2 linked regions of the Coturnix japonica genome follow. The protein of the gene in region 2 interacts with the protein of the main gene of each other region in a biochemical or structural test. Links are inferred from orthologs where the notes say so. Each region holds a gene or a part of one and is shown on either strand. Other genes may lie near its edges.

What was found. The genes of interacting proteins can lie anywhere in the genome.
Region 1: the proteins of DRD2 (region 2) and NCS1 form a complex in vitro, tested with the Homo sapiens proteins (2 studies listed by BioGRID, with this or other methods). The link is inferred for Coturnix japonica from reciprocal best matches to the Homo sapiens genes DRD2 and NCS1.

What each region holds. Positions count from the first base shown.
Region 1 is NC_029532.1:4,462,482-4,466,808, reverse strand, and holds the start of NCS1 (neuronal calcium sensor 1), read right to left. Parts: upstream 2,865-4,327; 5' UTR 2,458-2,864; coding exon 2,394-2,457; intron 1-2,393. UniProt on the Homo sapiens protein: Neuronal calcium sensor, regulator of G protein-coupled receptor phosphorylation in a calcium dependent manner. Directly regulates GRK1 (RHOK), but not GRK2 to GRK5. Can substitute for calmodulin. Stimulates PI4KB kinase activity.
Region 2 is NC_029539.1:4,993,030-4,996,619, reverse strand, and holds part of DRD2 (D(2) dopamine receptor), read right to left. Parts: intron 1,516-3,590; 5' UTR 1,485-1,515; coding exon 1,203-1,484; intron 1-1,202. UniProt on the Homo sapiens protein: Dopamine receptor whose activity is mediated by G proteins which inhibit adenylyl cyclase. Positively regulates postnatal regression of retinal hyaloid vessels via suppression of VEGFR2/KDR activity, downstream of OPN5.

The sequences.
Region 1 (4,327 bases), on a different chromosome or scaffold from region 2:
TAACGTGTCAGGGGATCTGTGAAATGTGATGCTCCCAGTGCAGTCGCAGCGAGGCCCAAAGTGCCACCAGCCACTGTCCTCCCATGGACACGGGGCAGGGGATGGGGCTGACACCCCAACACTTGGCAGGGCAGAGTCAGGGCAGGGCAGTGAGGAGCTCAGCCTGAAAACTGGAGCATTTTCACTCTTTTCCCCACAGAACTGAGCCAGCCGCTGCGTCCCCCGTAACTCCAAATCGATCTGTTTGTAGGTTGCTCTGAATCTAATGGCCATTAATTCAAGGCATTACTGGCACGCAGCGGAGCCAATTTTGTGGTTCATTGTAGAAGAGCAGAAAGTCCCAAAGTGAGCTGAAAGTTCACTAAAGAGAGAGCAGGGAGTGGGACACGGTTGGGGTTAAGGTCCAAAGGACCCCAACACGAGTGTTTCAGTCCCATGGAAGCAACTACAACTGCACACAAGTGCTTTGCACCAGAGAACCATTAAGGCTGGGGAAGCCTTTACCTTCAGCCTGAACCTTCACAACCTGAGCCCATCATCTGTCATCCACCTGCATTCAAGACTTGGACACAACCTTTCCTGCATCCCAAGATCTTCACGGCAGAACCTTTTGATCTCAACCAAACAAATTCAACTCCCAACATTCCCAAATCCCAACCCCAACCCCACACTGTGAGCAGAACAACCATAACCCAAAACCCTGCTGGGATGGCAGCTCCTGGAGCCCCACCAGCACCTCCTGGGACACTCAGTGCAGCACCCAACACTCCATGAGCCACCACCACCATGACAATGAAGCACTCCAAGAGCTTTCAGATGAAAGGCTCTGTGGAAGCACAAAGAATTACAGAATTTATTATTCATTATTATTCTGTGTTGGCCCCTCTCGTGGATGGGACCTGGGCTGCCAGGTGGGTTGAGCCTTCTCTGGTTCCCCCCATAGCACTATGGGCACCTGGGTCAGCACAGCTCAAGCAAACAGAAAATGATGCAACAGAAGGAAATCACACCGTGGGAGAAATGCTGCCCATAGTGCAACCACAGCTCTCAACATCATGGGCACATCCCTGGGATGAAGGTATCTCTCCACCATCAGCTCCCTGCCAACACCTGTCCAGGGCCAGAAGCACTCAGCAAAAGTAATTCAGACACGAGCAGTGGAATGAGCTCAACAAACTGAGCCCAGCATTAGGGATGGCTGCAGTCGATGGGCACCGTGCACTGCTGGGGGGGCACAGCCATGTGCTGTCCTGATGGGGAGGCACAGAGCAGACACACACAACCTGGGTGCAATGAGGACGGGGGGCTTTGGGGAGGGCACCCAGGAGGGGCACAAAGTTGGAGCCACAAGGCCACAACCCTGTGCCGGCCTCATCCAGCAGAGAGGACGTGCATTCACTACAACGGGTGCCAGCAGGTCCTGCAGCCCATGTGCCCTATAGGGCAGCACCTTCCCAGCACGGAGTGGTGCAAAATGCCCAATGCAGCATCACTGCTCAGAGCCGAGCTGAGCTCCGGGGCTGTGCCCCCCTCCCTCTGCACGGTGACAAGGAGCAGCCCCGAGTGCGGGGGTGTGCAATGCACCAGCGATGCCTCCTCTCCGTATGGGAGAACACGCTGCATCCTCATCTATTGCCTTTTTGGGTAAGCGCTGCCGTGGGACTGCAGCAATGACAGCGGGAACGCTTGCAGGTCTGGCGGGGCACGGAGCCGGTTGTGAGCTTAAAGCAAAGGGGGGTGAACGGGGAGGGGAATTGGGAGCAGCGGAGCCTTTGTTTCCTCCGCGCATCCTTCAGAACGGAGCAAAATAAAGGAGGTTTGGCTCAAAGCGGATGGTTCGGGCATCGGCCGCGAGAGTGAGGGGACAGCGGAGGATCCGAGGGGAAAGGAGCCGGCTCGGGGAGTTAAAGCAGAGACCCGTAGAGCGGGGCACGGAGCGAAACGACACAGGAACGGCACCGAACTTCGGGAGCCGCGGGGGCAGCGCTGCCCCAAAGGGGTCGGAGCGTCCGGGGCTGCGGAGTGGGGCCGGGGGGGGTCGGGGTACGGCAGCCGGGGGAGGGGGGAGAAGGATGCGGCCCCGGTGCCGCGGTGTCGGATGCTGAGCAATAGGCGGCGGAGTGCAGCGTGTGCGGGGAGCCCCGCGCTGCCCTGCCTGCCTGCCTGCCCCGCTCCATGTTTTCTCCCTCCTCCTTCTCCCAACAAAGCCGGGGCTGAGTCTGCGCGCTGCGGGAGGGGCCGACCCCACCGCGGTACCCGCAACCCCGCGAGCATCCGCGGGGCGCAACCGCCGCTCCCCCCATCGCCCCCTCCAGCCCCAAATCCTCTCCCCCCTTCCCAACCCTCCTCCCCCCCCCCGTTCACACCGCGGTCAGCCCCCGCTATGCACTCACAGTACGTTTTCCTGGTCAGCTCCTCCACAACTTCAGGCTTCAACTTGCTGTTGGATTTCCCCATGGCGATGCGGAACGGGCTCAGCTCGGGGGCATGGAGGGCTGCGGGGCCGGGAGCGGGGCACGGAGGGCCCTACATCCCGGGGAGGAGCGGAGCGCTGCGCTCTTTGTTGCCGGGCTTCGGGGCTGCGGAGATGCGGGGCCGCTCTGCGCCTCCGCGCGGCCGCTCCCGCCCCTCTCCGCGCTCCCTCCGCGCTCCCTCCCCTCCCTCCGAGGGTTGGGGTGCGGGAGGGGGGGCCCGCAGCTCTCGGCCCGACGCCGCCGGAGCTCAATGGGAGAGAAGGAGGAGGGAGCGGGCTCTTGTAGGGCGGAGGTGGGAGGGGGGGATGCTCGCCAAGGGCCGGAGGATGCGGAGGGAGAGAGGCGGCGGTGTGAGCGCAGAGGGAGCTGCGGGGTGGGAGTGACCTTGGGGGGACGCACCCGGATGCACAATGGCCCCCTCCTCCCTCCTCCCTCCCCCCGGTGCCGGCTCCCCGCTCTCACGCCGGGATCCCCGCTACGAGCCTTCATTCATCGTGCAGTGAGCGATGCACCCAGCCGGGCCGTGGCACCAGAAGCCGTTTTCCCCACCTCAAACCCAGGCAGGGCTGGATGCCCCCCAACGCAGCGTGATGCACACGATAAACGCGGCTCAATTCCAGCCCGTGTTGCAACGCAGGCCCCGCAGGAGCTGCCCGGACACGCCGTGCTCCTATAACAACAGCCAGGAGGAAGAAAGCACATATCTCTGCTTGGATACGGTTAAACCTGTCTGCGGGGCTGCAGGCTTTTGGGGGACAAAGACCCTCCTGCTTGCAAAAGGCCCCGTGCATCCCCTTCCTTCCAGCAAAACGCCCATCTTTGCAATGCTCTCCTTTGCGCCGAGCTGTGACCGTGTTGCAGCAGGGCTGTGTTGCTGTGTGTGTGTCTGTGTGTATGTGCAGAGCAACCAGAGAACAAGCCACAGTCCCAACCGGCCCCGCATAGATCAGGCATTTCAGCACGAGCTCTGCGATGCGAAAGGGATTTAATTCTATTTAAAACTCTCCCCTGCCTCCATCACCGAGAGAACTGAATAGAGAGCTCAGATCTCACCGAGGAGAGGAGAAAAGTAATTGGGAACTGTGCGAGCCATCCACTTTCTCTAATTATTAGCTTGAACCTTGCCATTGCTTAAATAACAGCACCGGTGGCAGTTGCTGGGAGGCAGCAGAATGCAGCCCCAAAACCAACACAGCGGGAGCTGCGGGTGGGCAGAGCCGTGCAGGGCTGGGACAGAGCGATCTGTTCCTTTTGGGCTTCCTTGTGCCCCAGGAACAGGGCAGCAGCGGGGAGGGCTCAAAGCGTGGGGGAGGAAGGAGCACACACACACGAGATTAATTGTATCGGCTGCAAAAAGAGCGGCTATTTTAAGGTTAATGCTTAACGATCCTGAGTCAGGCAGAAGAAAAGCCGAAGGAAAGCAGAGGCAGCAGCTCAGGGTTGAACTGGCACAGCCAACCCCCCAAACAGCTGCTGCTTTGAGAGGGAGGGGGAAAAAAAATTCCAGCGGAATGAGTTCAATTTCCTGGTGTAAGAACCGCAGCGGGCAGCGCACTGAGCCCGTCCCATCCCAACCTGCCCTCACTGCTGCAGTGCTACGGCTCCTGAGCACAAGGAGATGGGGTTGGGGGCAGCACCAACAGGACCCTACAGGGCTCGGGAATCAGCCAAGAGCGGTGACACGGACCCCAGCAGCTCTCCAGCGTGGGCTGCTGCTGTTTGAGTTCATTGTAGATAGCGTGGTTTTAGACGGAACACGGCGAGGAGGAGGAAAACAAATCAGGTCATCGGGTAAACGGGCGCAGCAGCGGAGCCTGCAGGCTCAGCTCCCAAAGAAACGGAACTGCAGACGT
Region 2 (3,590 bases):
ACACAAACAATAATTAACTGGAGTGATAATTAGTATTGTGGCTTCTCGACAGCCCGTGTCACATCAGCGGGTTTGTTTTGCCTTGCATTAATACTTAACGAGCTGATTGATTATGGCTTCTTCCATTGCTTGCCTCTGTTTTATCATTTCCTCTCCTAATGAAATGCCTGAAAATGAATTGCAAATTTGGTGTAGTTCCAGTCTTATGCTTTCTCTGTCGGTCGCCAGCATCCCAGCTCTTGGCTGTTTGAGGAATGCAGCCATCCCAGCCAAGGACAGGGGGAAGAACAGCTTCTGCTGCTCCACTCTTTCCTCTAGAGGCTTATTTCATTCTTTTGTGCTGTTTACTGTTGCAAGAGCCCTTCGCTGCCGGGTAAGCAGTATTTTGGAGTATTTGGCTTTCTTAAAACAATGTGCCACTCAAGTATGGCTCGGTGCTGCAGAAGCATAGAGCTCTTTTGTACCGAAGAGACATGCTAACGGCAGTAATGTGACAAGTAGCTCACTTGGGAGTCTGTTTCTCTTATATATTGTGACATAAAAGCTCTGGATTTACAACCTACTTCTACAACTGCTTGCTCTTCTTACTACTGCAGTCCTTCAGGAATAGGTTTCTGATTACTGCTCTGTGCAGTTTTACTGTGACCCTCATGATGTTGTTTTAGGCTCATTCTTGTGCTTGGGAATGTACAGATTGTTGGTGCGGTCTTGAAAACAAACTTGAGATCTTTCACTCTTGATCCCTGGATTTATAGGCCAAAATTTCAATGCTATTGGGTGGTAATTCAGCCTTCTGAACAATAGCATGTTTTCAAGTGAACCTGTCATCTGCTATCATGTCTGTTCATTTAATAACTCGACTATTACAAAATTTAAAACAAAGAATCTTAGAATTATTAAGGTTGGAAAAGACCTCTAACATCATCTCGTCCAACCTACCACCAATACTACCCACTGACCACATCCCTCCACACTACATCTACCATTTCTTCAAACACCTCCAGTGATGGTGACTCCACCACTTCCCTGGGCAGCCTGATCCAATGCCTGACTACTCTTTCCAAGGATACATTCTCCCTAAAAACACTTCTGGGGAAATTCTGGAGGTCTGGAAATAGCTGACGTCCAATTTGCTAAACCTTCCCCCTCGGAACTCCTTTACCAGAACCATTCAGTACTGGGAGGAAAAGCTGGTCACCTACCTCCAGATAGACCACCCAGGGCATGACCAGTGTGGCCACCAGGAGATCCGCCACTGCCAGGCTGACGATCAGGTAATTGGTGGTGGTCTGCAGGGCTTTCTCCCTGGACACAGCCATGCAGACCAACACATTGCCAAACACAATGACAAAGATGAGGAGGGTGAGCAGCACAGCATAGTAGTTATACTGAGGCTTCTGGTCTGCACTGGACTCGTTGAGCGGCTTGCTCCAGTTCCTGTCCCCAGTGTCACTGTTGTACCAGGAAAGGTTTAGGGGATCCATGAAGATGAGCTTGCCAGGTCCCAGCTCCACTCTGCACAAAGATGTTGGAAAAACAGACAAATATTGACATGTAAAATAAAACCAAAATGACCATGCGCACGCGGCCTTGCTCCTGAATTCCCATGTGCAGATGGCTGCTGAATGGTAGTGCTACGGACATCCAGAGCACTGCTTGAGCTGATAGTCAGATACCTGGGCAAGGATTTGGGAAGTTCATTTCCATTTTGGGTTAATTCCCCCAGATTTCTGCAGTCTGGACTATCAGTAGCAGTCATTACATGAAGAAAAGGGGGGACATGTCAGAGGGTGCAGTCAAAGAATAAAGGCAAGAGCTGTTTAAAGGCAGCTGGAAGTTCTGACTATTTGTTTAGGAGTTTCAGTTTAGAAATGGACCTTGTTTCACTTCTCAGCGCTTCCTGAGATCACCTGTTTCATTTTTGCCAAGCTGCACCTCCATAAAGACCAGCGTGATTTGAAAATCCAGCCACGTTCTCAACAGACCCTTAAAAAGGCCATTTAATTTCCTCACTAAAAGACAAAGCGAATTAGATTTATAGAATCACGTAAGTGATCAAAATAGCAAAACATTTGCAAATATCAAATTCACTTGGGAACAATGGTTTCCTTATGTTTCACTGAGCTTTTGTGCGCTTTCTTCATTCAGAGAACAATTTGTATAATAAACCCTGAAAATTTGTTGCATATGGGTCCTTAATAGCTGATAATTCAAAAAGTGTCTGTCTGACAGTGCTATCAGCGGCACTTGATAGCTCTACAAATGTCTTCTTAAAAACTGTCAAAGTGTCAGAAATTAATTAAATGTTAGCTTATGTGACTCAGAGTGAAGGGGGAAAAATCAATGCTAAATGCAGCGACAATTTCTTCTTTTCTCCCATTGCCCTTTGATAATGCAAAGCTATCTACAGAAGGCAGAAACATGCATATAATGCAGGATGGGAGGGGTGGGGGGGGAGGAAAAAGCAGGAACATAGAAAAGTATCTGGAAAGTATAAAAGGTGTTGAATGGTTTGATATGTGCAGGTTCAGCCCCTTGGCTGCTCCAGCTCCCAAGCTCTGACTGCAGTTCATTTCCAACTCGATAACTGCACAAAATTACAAAGCCATGGGTCAGGTTCATTCCAGAACCCAGAAAAAGAATGGGCATGGAAAGGTGTTTGGTCACCAGGAGGTTTGGTAAAGGCTGGGCTCTGGTTTGGGAAGCAGAACGGCTCAAGGTCAGCCCAGTTCCCTTCTACCACTGCCCGTCCCACACCAGATCATGTTCCTGTCAGGCACAGTGATGTCCCACATCAGAACTGCAGTGCTGTTGTGTTCAGCACATCTTGCATAGGTGTTTCCAAGACCATTTTGTGCAAGCCACAGTCACATCATACTGATGAACAGCAAGGTTATTTTCCAGAGCAGAGTAATAAGCTGACCTTGTGCTTCTTGTAACTCACTATAATGGCTTTGGTCTGTTTCAGCTTTTATTCTGGTGGAAAAAAAGGGGAGAAGCATAAAACTGATTTTGGTTGCAAACCCAACTGCACCATCATCCTTCTCCTCTATTTTCTCTTCAGGAGTGAGCCAGGAAGTCTGCCATTAGTTCACAAGCAGGAAGGGAGGATCAGCATCCCTGCCCTACTGGGAAATGCTTCTTGGTGCTGCCTAGAACAGGACGGTGCTTCATGGTCCTTCACTGCTGATGGCTTCTCAGACAGAGCAAGGAAGAGTTTTCAGTGCTTTTATCCAGATAGCTGCGTGGATGGAGGCTGGGGGATGGGATCATAAGTGCAGAGGAGAGGGAGGACGGGCACCTGTGGGAATGGGGTCAGAGCTCCACACACCACTTCCAGGGCAGCACAGAGCCAGGGCTGCTCATGCAGGGCCGTGGGACGCAGGTGTGGGCAGAGCCCTGAAACAGAACAAATTCCATCCTGAATTAACTGCAGCAAAGCCACCTTAATTCCAGCTGGGAGCCCACACGGATTGTTAGCGTGCCTGAGCTAATCCAGCTGCGGATTAACTGAGCGGTCAAGGGCAGGATGGAGCAGCAAGGTCACAGCCCTGTGCCCAGTGCCTGCCCTGATTCCTCCCCACACTGTG